Linked DNA regions of Canis lupus familiaris. The protein of the gene in region 2 interacts with the protein of the main gene of each other region in a pairwise test. Links are inferred from orthologs where the notes say so. Each region holds a gene or a part of one and is shown on either strand. Other genes may lie near its edges.

Region 1 (4,832 bases), about 390 kb from region 2:
TGCCAAGTACTCGTCTCCTCCCCGTGGCTCCACCTCCCTGGCCCCTCCAGCTCTCGCTGGCTCTCTGACTTTTGCCCTCCCCGCACGCAGTCCGGCTCCCTGCTTCAACCCTCTCTCTGGTCTTTAAAGAGAAGAGGTACTCTCGGGCCCTGTCCCTGCCCCTGTCCTTCCACGGTCTTTATTTAACTTCAGTACTTTCGCTTTTCAATTTCCTTCCTGTCAGTCTCAATCACTGAAGCTGAGACAGTGCCTCTCCCCAACATAGAATCTGGGCGGGCGCATCTTTTCCAGTAGAAACTGGGTATTAGGGTTGCTTTAAAAAAAAATGAGAAAGAAACAAAAAAAAAAAAAAAAAAAGAGAGAGAGAGAGAGAGAGAGAGAGAAAGAACGCTAGATTACTCTGGGACGAGCATGCCTCCTGAATTTTGTAGGCATGTATCTGTTCCCTGTCCAGCCTCTGACCTCCTCTCGCTCGTCTTTCCACTGTCCCTTAAACCAGGACCATTGCGTTGCTCCTCTCCTTGGTCTACACCCCTTCCCCTAGAACTTTTCTCCTAAGCCTTTCCCGGCATCCTGTACCTTCACTTCCCCCGCCCTCCTCTCACCTGGCCTCCCTGGTCACGTGAGACCTTTATCTGGGTGCTGACCTGCCCTCGGCCCGAGTCTGTCCCCGCTGCCAGACACACATTCGCCCTGCTAGAATTTACACGCCCTGAGGTCGAGGATGTAAGGAACACTGGTATGGGAGGACTGTTACCTAGTTCTGCTCCTTGGGCCACAGTGAGGTCACTGACTGTAGAGAAGGCCCAAGCTCGGGCCTGCCCAAGTCCCGGGGGTCCTACCCAGGAGGAAGACCCCACTTCTGCGGGACACACTACAGGACGGAAGGGGCGGGCCTAACCCCATTCCGCCGCGGGTCGCTCAGGAGGGCGGGCCTTGCCCCCTCGGCACCTACTCACGAAGGGGTGGAGCTAGTTCGCTTTTCAGGTTTAAAACGGGGCCGGGGTCAACTCTGTCATCCTGTGTCAACGTTAGAAAGGTGTGGGCCTTGAGATCTGTTCTGCAAGTCACCTAAGGAGGAGCGGGCTGCGTCCCGCAGCCGAGGGAGATGGGTTAACACCAGCGCCGCAGGTCGATGCTCGCACCACCCACACGTCGAGCTGATGCCAGTTCTGCTCCCTTCTTCACTGAAAGGGAGGGGCGAGCCCCAGTTCTGCCCTCTACGTCACCGAAGGAGGCCGGAGCCATTTTGAGCCCTGCGACCATAGCATTTGCTACCTCGCCGAGCTCTCGGCCGTCTTTTCCGATCTCGGCCAATCAGGGCTGCAAGAAACTAGCCAATCAGCCCGGAGAGACCGCAGTCGGAGGGCCCGGATGAGGCGGCGCTGATGCCTTTGAACCCCAAAGCCCGCCAATCGTAGAGCAGTCACCACGGCGACAAGAGCGCGGCGAGGGGGTGGGGCCAGAGAAAGCCGAGCACTCTCGGCCTGGCCCGCCCCTTCCCGCCGCCTGCTGCGCGCGCGCACTTTGCCGAACCACCATCTTCCGTCGAGTTCCAGCCAATCCAGAGCTTCGGAGCTCTACGCTCCAAAGTCCAATAGGAATCCGGACGTTCTCGGAAAGGGGAAGTGAAGCAAAGAAAGGGCTCGGAGGAGGCGGGGCCTGTGTGGTCCCGGACCAATTGCTTCTGGCCCTTGGCCCTGACTGGCAGCTACTCAGACGAATCAAGCTCCCCGACCAGGTCCAACGGACACCAATTCTGTCGCATGGCGTCCTGACGGAGACGCGCCCGCCAATCGTCGCTGGCAAGGGCAGGCCTGCGCAGACCTCTCCCTACCCTTTGGGCCAATCCTGGCTTTTAAACTGTGTGATTGTCAGCCACCCAGACCAGTAGTGTTTAGACAACCTCGAAGCCCGCCCAACGGTCGTGGGCTGGAGGCGGTTTCTCGCTGTTGGGGCGTGTGTGTGTCTGTGTGTGTGTTTGGGGAGACCGAGGGGTACGTGAAGGCGAAACACCGGCCATGGCAGCCGCGGAGGAGGAGGACGGGGGCCCCGAAGGGCCAAACCGCGAGCGGGGCGGGGCGGGCGCGACCTTCGAATGTAATATATGCTTGGAGACTGCTCGGGAGGCTGTGGTCAGCGTGTGTGGCCACCTGTACTGGTGAGGGTCCGGCCGGGGCTGAAGAGAAATGGGGCTCGCCCCTTACTGGGGAGGCTGGGGGCGGGATGGCACGCATACGGATAGTCGGCGGGCACATCCCCGTGGGCGAGGCCCGAGGTCTCTGGGAATGTGTGGGTGAGAGGGTCACATCTCCACGGAGGAGAGCCGTGTGGCGGAGAGCCCTAGGAACTGGGCGCTGAGGGGTGTGCTGTGGTTAAGAGGCAGCAGGGCGGGGTGGTGGTGGGGGAACTACATCTGTCCAGGTGAGACCCCAGCCGCCTTACCCCGGAAAGTGACGGTCTTAGTTGTACAGGTGGAGATAGATTAGACTCCAAGGTTAGAGGAGGCACGCCTTAGTCGGGTACGGGAGACCGAGGGAATGTAGGATCGCATGCAGATGAGATCTTGGTAGGGAGTGGTATGACAGACCTGAGGACCAGGGCACTGAGAAATGAAAGGATGGTGGAAATAGGGACTTGATGGAGCCTAGAAGAGAGGAAAAGGAGTAGTGGGGGCAGGTGCTAGTAAAGGGGGTTTGGTTGAGGAGTGATGCGGGCAGGGCTGGGGTTGGGGCTGAAACAGGAGATCTAGAAAGCTCTGGTTGAAGAGACCTGGACACTAAGTTCAGAGGCAGAAAAGGGAGGGGACATGTGTGTTCAAGGAGAGAAGAGCGTTGAACCTCGGAGGATGAATATTACTTTAGACGTTGTAAGATCAGAGAGGTGGGAAGGCCAAATTGGCTGGCATGGAATAGGTTGTCAAAAACATGAAAAGAAACAGCAGGTAATACCTGGGAAGAGGGGTGCGATCGGACTCTGAGGTCAGGTTCGTGTCTGTCTTTACTGTAGCTAGTTTGACCTTCTTTTTTTCCCCCCATCTAGTTGGCCCTGTCTTCATCAGGTGCGTACTCAGAGGAGATGAAGAGGGAAATGGGGAGGTCTGAGGAGTTGAAAAACCCTACTGTGAACTGGAAACCACTTCATTTTCTCCCTCAGTGGTTGGAGACCCGGCCAGAGCGGCAAGAGTGCCCAGTGTGTAAAGCTGGGATCAGCAGAGAAAAGGTTGTCCCTCTTTATGGGCGAGGGAGCCAGAAGCCCCAGGATCCCAGGTGAGAGAGAGGGGGTGGTGCTGAGGGAAGATGGACTGCTTCTGGCCTGGGAGTGGGGCGTGGAGGGGGAGAGGACATTCCTTGCTGCTAGCCCTAGCCAGTCTCTCATTCCTCAGATTGAAAACTCCACCCCGCCCCCAGGGCCAGCGACCAGCTTCAGAGAGCAGAGGGGTGAGTCTTGTCTGATTTGTGTTCCTTCCTTGCCAAAGACCTGCCCAGTTCTCCTCTGACTTTCTCCACCTCCCTAGGGATTCCAGTCATTTGGTGATACCGGGGGCTTTCACTTCTCATTTGGTGTTGGTGCTTTTCCCTTTGGCTTTTTCACCACCGTCTTCAACACCCATGAGCCATTCCGTCGGGGTACAGGTAAGAAGAGCCTTCCCTCAGCTCCAAGCAGGGAGCCCTCTGAGTCCCCTCAGGCCTTTTCCCAACCTAGGAGTGGATGCTTCTCCCACAGCTTTCCTTTCTCCTACAGGTGTGGATCTGGGACAGGGTCACCCGGCCTCCAGCTGGCAGGACTCCCTCTTCCTGTTTCTCGCCATCTTCTTCTTTTTCTGGCTGCTCAGTATTTGAGCTTTGTCTCCTTCCTGCCCACCTCCAGCCAGAGGAGAATCAGTATTGGGGGTCCTTGCTGACCCTTCCTTACTCCTGGCCCCTCCCTCCCAACCCCTCCGTTTCTACTGGCTAAGGCCAACCCTGGCCACTTTGTAGGAGGGTGTGGGGAGGAGGTGTGACATCTGTGCAGAGGATGGGAGAAACTTCTGCCCTGAACTCGCTGCGTAGCATCCTAACTCCCAGCTCTGGGACAGGAGGACAGACGGAAGAGGATGTCTGTTTCTTCCCTCTCCTGATCTTTTGCTTTCCCCCACATTTGTTGATTTGATGTTGAAAGATGGGCAAGGCTCCCACTGACTCTCCCCTACTTTACCCCTGTTGACTTAATTTTTCTCTCCCCAGTGTCTAATATGGGTTCTGATTCTTAAGTCCTTCCTTCCCTTCACTACCTCCTTTATTATAAATTCAATAAACAAGGTGAGATGTACTGATGGGAGCTCTGCCCACCTTTGTCCTTACCCCCTTCCTTCCAGGACAGGAGCATCTCCCCAACTTGAGTAAATATTTGCACGGTGTGGGGAAGTGTGAAGGCTTTCTTCAAGGCTCTGAGGGATTCAGAGGGTGAGGGCGTCTCTCTCTCTCTCTCTCTCTCACAAACACACACACACAAACACACACAGAGGCATCTTTCTCACACACACACACACAGGCGTCTCTCACACACACACGTGTCTCACACACAGTCATCTCATACACGTGTCTCACACAGGTGTCACACACAGGCATCTCTTTCTCAAACACAGGTGTCTCTCACACACAGGTCTCACACACAGTCATCTCTTACACACAGGTGTCTCTCACAGTCATCTCTCACAGGTGTGTCACACAGGCGTCTCACACAGTCTCACACACACAGGCATCTCACACATGCAGGTGTCTCACACACACACAGGTGTCTCTGTCACACACACACACACACACACACACATCCATATGTGTGCACGAGAA
Region 2 (4,135 bases):
CTGGGTCTGGATCTGAGTCAGGGTCTGAGCAGAAGCTGCCTGAAATGTGCTTTTCTTCATTTTGTCTTGTTTTGCCATTTACATTTTTGTACAGTGTTTCTATTGTTCTCTCTTAGTCAAGTTATTTTTGAAAATGTCAAAAAATTTCTGTGACGGAAAATAAAAAACAGTTCTCAAGATAGAGTGCCAGGTGCTTCGAGGGTGAGGGAGGGAGTACAGCAGAGAAGACACAGCTCCCGCCACCCTCACAAAGCATGTGGATGGGCTCGGTGGGGTGACTGGAGGCATAGATGGTCTGGCTGCAGAAGTTGAGGGAAGGAAGGTGGCCATAAGGATGGAACAGTGAGAGAGGGCCTCATTCAAGAGGTGGGCCCAATGCGAAGGAGCCACTGTAGGCATGACTTCCCTCCATCCATCTCACTCAGCCCTCCAGGACAGCATTGTATCAGGGACCCAGTAGGGGAGGGGGGCATGAACAGCCAACAGACCCCCACTTCCTCCCTCAGAAGCACCAGTACCTACAGCCATCCCTTTTGGGAGTGGGTCAGTTTTATATTTTGGGAAAGCAAGGAGTGTTCTGGAAGCAGCTGGATAGCTGATAAAGGCATCCTCTCTTGGCTGATTTTTTCTTCACTCTGAGAAGGGAGTATGGGGGTGTTGACCTCTCCTTGTCTCCCCATGACGTGTGGGGGCCAGTCCCATGGCTGATTAGGGTGGGTAGGTGGCCTGCCCCAACTTTTCAGTTCCTCTTTACCTCTCCTTGCCCACCACAGAGGCAGCTCGCCAACTACAACTTTGACTTTAAGAGCTGGCCGGTCGACTTCCACTGGAAAGAGCCCAGCAGCCGGTGAGGTCCCAGTTCTCTCATTCCATCCCTGCTCTGTCCTGTCCCCATCTTGGGCCCCAGGGGCTGCTCTCCAGCACCATCTCCTTGTTCCTAGACAGCATCCTCCCCCCTCTCCTGCAGACCTCCGCTGTTCAGCTTGCTGCTCCTGACTGTCCTCCCCTGCATCTTTCCATCCTCAGGAAGGAGTCTCGAGGGGGCCCTTCTTACCAAGGTGTGGCCCTGCTCCGCCCAGAGCCCCTGCACCGGGGGACAGCAGACACCCTCCTCAACCGGGTCAAGAAGCTGCCTTGTCAGATCACCAGGTGGGAAGCAACAGGGAAGAGAGGCCAGCTGGGATGGAGGTGATTCGGAGTGAGGATTCCAGGACAGGGTGCTCCCTTGCAAGATAGGGCCTTGTGCTGCGTAGTTTGTATTATTTGTGGTAGTTTTTTTTTCTTTCCAAAGATTTTATTTATTTATTCATGAGAGACATAGAGGCAGAGGGAGGAGTAGGCTCCCTGTAGGGAGCCTGATATGGACACTTGAACCCAGGACCCCAGGATCACGACCTGAGCCAAAGGCAGATGCTCAACCACTGAGCTACCCAGGTGCTCATATTTGTGGTTTTTAATCTAGATTTATAGGTGAAGAAAAGAGGCCCAGAGAGCTCCAGAGTCTCATAGACAGTGAATGAAAGACTGGGATGTTCACACAATTCTATCTGACACAAAAGTTCTTTCATGTTACTACTCTTTTTGTTTTTGTTTTTTTTAATTTATTTATTAAGCAAGCTCTGCACGAAACATAGGCCTTGAGCTCACGGCCCCAAGAGCAGGAGTCACATCTTCTACAAACTGGGCCAGCCAGGTCCCCACAGAAGCTCTGTTAACCAGGCTGGGAGGGAAGAATGAGGTTGGAGGTGTGGTGGAGACACATAGCCTTAGCTGGAGCAGGGTCTGGTGGCAGCTATCCCTGTCTTGGCCCCTCTGCTCCTAGGCTATCCTACCTTAGCGACCTGCAATCTCTGTGTCCATGATTAACCCACTTCATAGGATTGGCGAGATTAAGTGTAGTAACATCTTCACAAAGCCTTCTACCTTGCCTGGGTGCCTGAGAGCATATGGCAAAGCCCAAGTAAATCATAGTTGTGGACACGGATGGTGTTGGAAGTAGCAGCAGTAATCATCCATATCTTACCGTGGTGCAGATGTCGTGGGAATTTTCTGTTGCTGTGGCCTGGGACGCAGTTTCTGGAATACCGAAGAAAGGGGAGGGCTTAGTGGTCGGTGTCTACAGTATGCTGATTGGTCAGAGGGGCAAGCCAGATTTGCAGTTTTGAGAGGATGCTGAATGGGGTAGTACAGTGTTTTTCTGTGAACAAATCCTACTTCAAGATTAACTGGAAATGGTCTTTCAGGAACAGCACCTACCACAGCTTATCTGTCTAGATTAGTGCATTGGTTCAGTAAATATTTATTAAGCCCCTACTCTGCATTAGGCTCTAGCCACCAGCTACATGGCAGATAAAAGGCATATTGCAGTGAACAGAACAGCCAGGTCTCTGCTTGGTGGAGTGTGCAATCTAGTTTGGTGTCTTTCAAACTGTGGATCTTGGGGCACCTGGGTGGCTCAGTTGGTTGAGTGTCCAACTCTTTTTTTTTTTTTTTTTTTTTTTTTTTTTTTTTTTTAATTAATTTTTTTTTATTTATTTATGATAGTCACACACACAGAGAGAGAGAGAGAGAGAGAGGCAGAGACACAGGCAGAGGGAGAAGCAGGCTCCATGCACCGGGAGCCCGACGTGGGATTCGATCCCGGGTCTCCAGGATCACGCCCTGGGCCAAAGGCAGGCGCCAAACCGCTGCGCCACGCAGGGATCCCTCTTTTTTTTTTTTTAAGATTTTATTTATTTATTCATGATAGAGAGAGAGGCAGAAACACAGGCAGATGGAGAAGCAGGCCCAAAGTCGGACTCGATCCCGGGTCTCCAGGATCACGCCCTGGGCCAAAGGCAGGTGCTGAACCGCTGAGCCACCCAGGGATCCCCAAGTGTCCAACTCTTGACCTCGGCTCAGGTCACGATCTCAGGGTCATGGGATGGGCCCCACCTTGGGGTCTGTGCTCACGAGGAGTCTGCTTCACTATGCCTCTGTCTCTTCCCCAGTTCATGCACACACACACATTCTCTCTCTCTCTCAATCTCTCTGCCCCCCTTCCTCCCCCTCTTGCTCTCTCTCTCCTCCCCTCCACTTTCCCTCTCTCAAATCTCAAAACAGAAAGCAAATTATGGATCTTGACCCACTCATGAATCTTGAAATCAATTGAATAAATTATAGCTGTTGTTTATTTAAGTATTATTTACTTGGGGACTTTTAATAAGTTGCATTTGTTTAAGATTTATTTATTTATTTGAAAGAAAAAGATTTATTTATTTATTTGAGAGAGAGAGTGAATGAGCAGGTGCTCATGCGGGTACACCAGGGAAAGGTCTGGGGGAGGAACAGGGAGGAGAGAGAATCTTTTTTTTTTTTTTTTTAAGATTTTATTTATTCATGAGAGACACAGAAAGAGAAAGGCAGAGACCCAGGCAGAGGGAGAAGGAGAAGCAGGCTCCCTGTGGGGAGCCCCACGTGGAACTCAATCCCCGGACCCCAGGATCACACCTTGAGCCGAAGGCAGATGCTTAACCTCTGAGCCACCCAGGCATCCTGAGGAGAGAGAATCTTAAGCAGACTCCATGCTGAGCCTGCAGCCCCATGCAGGGATCCCAGGACTGGAGCTGAAACCAACAGTTCAGACGCTTAACTGACTGTGCTCCCGAGGTGTCCCTAAGTTGTATTTATACATTAAGAGAATCATAGTTAATAACTTTGCTTTTACTTTTACGTAGAAAATATTATTTCCTGAAATTTTCAGTATTATATGTACAAATGCGTGTACTGGGCCACAGTATAAAATGTGCATCTTAGAAAGGCTGTAGTAAAAAAAAAAAGTTGGGAAAACACCAGTCTGGTTCATACAGCATTTTGTTAAATCTTCTAAAAAGAAAACAAAAATGTGAAGGTCAAGGGTGCATCAGGCCCCAGAACCTCTGGGTGCAAGGGCTGGGGTGGTCCCTGGGCCCCCCTGAGGTCAAGGGTTTGTTAACCTTGAGTTCCCCACAGCTACTTGGTGGCACACACCTTGGGGCGCCGGATGCTGTATCCCGGCTCAGTGTACCTGCTCCAGAAGGCCCTCATGCCTGTGCTGCTGCAGGGCCAGGCCCGGCTGGTGGAAGAGGTGAGGCGCCCCTGCCCTTGCGCCCCGATG
Region 3 (4,674 bases), on a different chromosome or scaffold from region 2:
GGATAATGAGGAGGCTCCTGGCTTGCTCATTCAGTAGGACATGTGACTCCTGATCTCAGGGTTATAAGTTTAAGCCTCACATTGGGCATGGAGCCTACTTTTTAAAAAATGAGGATGATGCTAGTACCTACCTCATTGAGGGGATTTCCTGTGAGGTGATGCATGACAAGTGCTTGGCACATACTAGGTGCTTTAGAAATGTTGTAGGTGGTTTTGGCTGAGAACATTGAGATTCTAGGAAGGGAAATGTCCCCATCCTAAGCTGTAGCCAATACAGTTACCTAGTATAAATCACAGGTAGAAAGTCACTCCCTCATTTCTGGAAAGAGGACTGGCATTATTGGGAGAACCCGACTTTAGTGCTTCCCCAGGCTCAACGCCTATATCCTCCAAGTCAGGTCCTGGATCACAGAGTCGAGTCCTAAACTAGGGTCCCAGAAGTGGGCCTGCCACAGGCACTCCTTCCTCTGCTTCATTGACTTTGGGTGGATTAGTCTCCCCTCTGAGCCTCAGCTCCCTTTTCTATAAAATAAAGTTTTCAACTGAATGATGGGGGCGGGGTGTGGAGAGGTATCTTTTCCTTAAATCCCTGATGAAGTATGAGTGACATTAGATTATGTAAAGATACTCAACTAGAGGCCAAGATTCAGAGACCTCTTAACCCCCTGGAACTGTGTGCAAGATTGTATATGTGACATGTATGTACACGTGTGTGAACATTTCTATCTGAGCATGTTTTAGGAATAGATCTATTTATCTTTGTGAAGGAGGTCTGTGATCCCAGAAGAGTAGTCACCGACCTAGTTCAGACCTTTTTTTTTTTAAAAAAAAGATTTTATTTATTTATTCATGAGAGACAGAGAGAGGCAGAGGGAGAAGCAGGCTCCCTATGGGGAGCCTGATGGGGAATTTGATCTCAGGACACACACCCCCTCCCCCCACCCCCGCCATCACAACCTGAGCCAAAGGCAGATGCTTAACCACTGAGACACCCAGGTGCCCCTGGTTCAGACCTTCTATCTGAACTATAGATATAGTTCAGACTATATCAAGATCTGATATATATGGGCAGCCCCGGTGGCGCAGCGGTTTAGTGCTGCCTGCAGCTCAGGCAGGGCATGATCCTGGAGACCCTGGATCGAGTCCCACGTCAGGCTCTCTGCATGGAGCCTGCTTCTCCCTCTGCCTGTGTCTCTGCCTCTCCCTCTATGAATAAGTAAAATCTTTTTTAAAAAAAAGATTATATATATATATATATATGACTATAGCAAGAGCCTCCAAACTGGTCTCCCTACTCCTTTGTTCCTTAAACGTGTCCTCCACCTATCACACAGGGTATCATTCCTTTGTTTGAATCTTTCTTTTGGCCTTAGTGGCAAAAAGAAATGCATAGTATTTAAAGACATTCATAATCTTACCCAGCCTGGTCCCCACACTCATATCCTGACACACCCTAATCTATTTCCTCTGTCCTCAGCCCCTCTGTGTACCCTCCTGCCCTGGCTACAGGGAACGTTTCACTGCTTCCTGAATGCATCAAGCACTTTCACATCTCTCTTCCTTTGCAGGAGCTTCCCTGTACTTCATCTGGCAAACCCTCGTGTGTGCTTCAAAATCCAACTCAGGCGTCCCACCCCTTTGTGATGTCTCCCTGACACCTCCTCCAAATGAACCACACCCTCTGTGCTCCAACTCCTGTGCTTAAAGTCACATTTATCCCACTGTACTGTAATTATGTGTTTGAGTGTCTGTCTGCCCAAGCAGATATGAACTTCTCCCAGCAGAGAAACCAAGTTTCTGACTCACGTTTGGAGCCTCAGGACCCAGCACGGGGCATGGCACCACATGTGTACGGGTAATGACTATCTAAAATGAGTCAGTAAGTTAATGAAGGAGTAAGTCAGTGAGTGAACAGACCAAGAAGGAAGAATAGATACACCTGAACCGGTGCGCGTGGGATTGGGTCCCGCCCCGCCCCCAACACATGGAACTACATTTCCCAGAAGACCCCGCGACCTGGGCATGCGCACTGGAGAGCTAGGAAGCTGCGACGCCGAGTTTCACTCTGGCTGCCTCCTCAGAGTCGGAGCTTCAGCCGGAGCGGTGCCCAGGCCGGCCCGAGCTGCAGCCCCAGCGCGGCGGTGCCCTCACCCGGCCCCCTCGTCTTCCTCAGCCTCGGTGAGAGGGGCGGGCGGGCCACCTGCCCGTCGCCAGGGCTGGGGTCCCGGGGACGCGGGGGGGACTGAGCCGAACTGGGACCGGAAGGGGGCGGGCGTGGGACTGAGGGAGGGCCGGGCCGGGCCGGGGAAGAGCCCCGTGGTGAGGTCCGGGGGGACTGGGAGGACCCGCCGCGGGGCTGGCCCGGGGCCGCGGCCGCCGGAGGCGGGAGCTGGGAGAATCGGGCGCGCTGGCAGCTTTGGGACGGGTCTGGGTGCGAGGGTGAGCGCCGGGTGGGAGCCGAAGGGCTGGCAGGGGGAGGGGCGCAGACCCCGGGAGTTCGGGGCCGTGGCGAGGAGGACACCCCTTCCCACAGGGGCGGGCGGAGGCGCTGGAGATCCCGTCACTGGGCTCCGGGGCTCGCGGGGTCGATTCTCCTGGGTTCTGGCTTCGGGCGGACGACTTGCTGCAGCCCGGGGCTGTACTTTTTGAAAGAGTTTGCCCCCAAACTCTGCTTCCCTGCCTCAGGTAGGGGTCGCCCTCCGGGAAACTCCGGTTTCCTGGGGGCCCTGGGTTCCTTTTGAGGGTTGCGTAATGTACGTCGGAGAGGATTTAGACGACTTTTTTTTTATTTTTCTGAACCTGCCCTGTCGCCCACTCCGCTCCCCTCCCCTCCAACCAGCTGCTCCCTTCCACACTGGTTCCACTTCCCTAAGTGCCAGTAACAGTGGAAATAGTGTGTGCACGCACAGGCTCCCGGACCGTTAAGAATTAATTCAAGAATACTTCTGCCTGCTATCCTCTAGAGTTCTAGAAGGTCGACGTTGTGGTAGCCAAAATCGGGCTTTACCCTCACGGTAACTATAACTGGGCCTCTTACTCATTTGCTGCGTGACCTTGGCCAAACTTTTACCTTCTCTGGTGTGTTAATCTCCTGGATTCTTACACTGCAGACTGACTTAGGAAGCCCATTTAGGCCTTTCCGTGAAAGAGCTGAGGTGTGTGTGTGTGTGTGTTTCCACCATCCCCTTGATTATTGAGTGGGTAGAGGGAGACTGTTGTACCTTCTGTCCTGCCCAGGCTGTTGAAAAATAAATCTGGTGGTTTCCAGTCCCCGGCCGCAGCGCACAGACCCAACATCTGTGCATTCGTTTTCACTGACTGCTGTTTCTCAATTTAAAACCTGATCATCTTTTTCCTTGTTGGCAAAGGTGCCCTGGAATTTGTGTTGCTGAGTCAGCAAGGCTTTCCGATTTGCTCGGTTTTTGTTGTTTGCATTTTATATCAAGATGGGAACTCAAACAAGTCATTCCTCCTAAGGATCTAGTGTCTCTGTCAAGAAGGGACAGTTTGTGCCAGCTCTCCAGAGAGAAAAGGTAAGAGTGACAGGGACTTCACATTGCTGCCTTCTGGATCTGGTTTTCAGTAGAGGAGGTGGAGACTGGGGAGGGTGAAATTTGAGGTCTCCCGGATGAAAGTCAGCCTTGGGAGTTGATTGTTGATTGCCAACTGTCTCAAATAAAGTCAAGTGCTTTCTTGCCAAGGGCTTCTTCTGTTAAACCAGGCTTAGAGGATGCTTTACACATGGTTTTCACTTAAGACATGCTTTATGGGGTGAAGGACACAAGTCATGATTTCTGCATCTGAGCTGGAAATTTTATTTCTTTTGTTGCCCGCACAAAACTGGGTGCCTTCTTTGTGTCAAGCCCCATGCTCAATGGTGGGGCACAGTGATGAGTGAGAAGAGCTCTGTCACCTGGGAGCTCATCATTTGGTGGAATGGACTGTCCGTTCCTAGACAGACCCTAGACAGTGGCAAGGAGTTGTTGGTGTGCTATGTGTTGAGGTGGGAGGAATCACAGGGCAGAGCCCCAGCCCCTCGACCAGGGGCTGTCCAGGAAGGGATAGGAGGGAAGGGTCAGCAAGCTTCTAGAAGAACATAATTGAGCTGAGTTGTGAAGGACTTGAAAAGGAGAGCAGAAGCCTGGCAGAGGAGTGGGCATCTGCAGAGTCCAGAAGTTACCTGGTACGCATGGGCCAATGTAAGTAGCTCTATGTGGCTAGAGCAACAGGGATGGGTGTGAGGTGGAGGAGGCTGGTTAGGTAGGCAGAGGGAAAGTGTGGATGGTTTTGTGGGCCGCACTAAGGCTCTGGGAAGCAGGATTTTAGCAGAATTCCATGAGGGCATTTTACATGAGCACACTGGCTAGAAAGTATGAATGGATTAGACTGGATTATTCTCTTTGTGACTGTTTCTTTACACCATGCCAGCTTTTGATAGAGGAAGAGTTAGACATAGATGTTGCCCTCAGTTTCTTCATAGTCTCCTTGAAGAGATAGAATGGACATAGAGAACTGTAAAGGGCAGGCAAGTGCTGTGGAAGTTGAGAAGAGGGTGTTTTCTTTCAGTTGGGCATCTCGAGGCATCATGGAAGTACGTTTAAATTGGGTCTTGAAAGGAAGTCTGAGTGGCCCAGTCTGTTGAGCATCTGCCTTTGACTCAGATCATGATCCCGG

The links.
Region 1: the proteins of ABHD16A (region 2) and RNF5 interact in binary tests that used the Homo sapiens proteins (3 or more experiments, as listed by UniProt). The link is inferred for Canis lupus familiaris from reciprocal best matches to the Homo sapiens genes ABHD16A and RNF5.
Region 3: the proteins of ABHD16A (region 2) and DTX2 interact in binary tests that used the Homo sapiens proteins (3 or more experiments, as listed by UniProt). The two-hybrid records come from large-scale screens. The link is inferred for Canis lupus familiaris from reciprocal best matches to the Homo sapiens genes ABHD16A and DTX2.

What each region holds. Positions count from the first base shown.
Region 1 is NC_049233.1:1,702,599-1,707,430, forward strand, and holds RNF5 (E3 ubiquitin-protein ligase RNF5), read left to right. Parts: upstream 1-1,856; 5' UTR 1,857-2,021; coding exon 2,022-2,161; intron 2,162-3,042; coding exon 3,043-3,061; intron 3,062-3,156; coding exon 3,157-3,269; intron 3,270-3,385; coding exon 3,386-3,440; intron 3,441-3,517; coding exon 3,518-3,635; intron 3,636-3,744; coding exon 3,745-3,842; 3' UTR 3,843-4,311; downstream 4,312-4,832. UniProt on the Homo sapiens protein: Membrane-bound E3 ubiquitin-protein ligase that mediates ubiquitination of target proteins. May function together with E2 ubiquitin-conjugating enzymes UBE2D1/UBCH5A and UBE2D2/UBC4.
Region 2 is NC_049233.1:1,311,521-1,315,655, reverse strand, and holds part of ABHD16A (phosphatidylserine lipase ABHD16A), read left to right. Parts: intron 1-773; coding exon 774-847; intron 848-1,026; coding exon 1,027-1,188; intron 1,189-3,990; coding exon 3,991-4,105; intron 4,106-4,135. UniProt on the Homo sapiens protein: Phosphatidylserine (PS) lipase that mediates the hydrolysis of phosphatidylserine to generate lysophosphatidylserine (LPS). LPS constitutes a class of signaling lipids that regulates immunological and neurological processes.
Region 3 is NC_049227.1:7,519,158-7,523,831, forward strand, and holds the start of DTX2 (probable E3 ubiquitin-protein ligase DTX2), read left to right. Parts: upstream 1-1,698; 5' UTR 1,699-2,178; intron 2,179-2,320; exon of another isoform or gene 2,321-2,439; intron 2,440-3,368; exon of another isoform or gene 3,369-3,533; intron 3,534-4,674. UniProt on the Homo sapiens protein: Regulator of Notch signaling, a signaling pathway involved in cell-cell communications that regulates a broad spectrum of cell-fate determinations.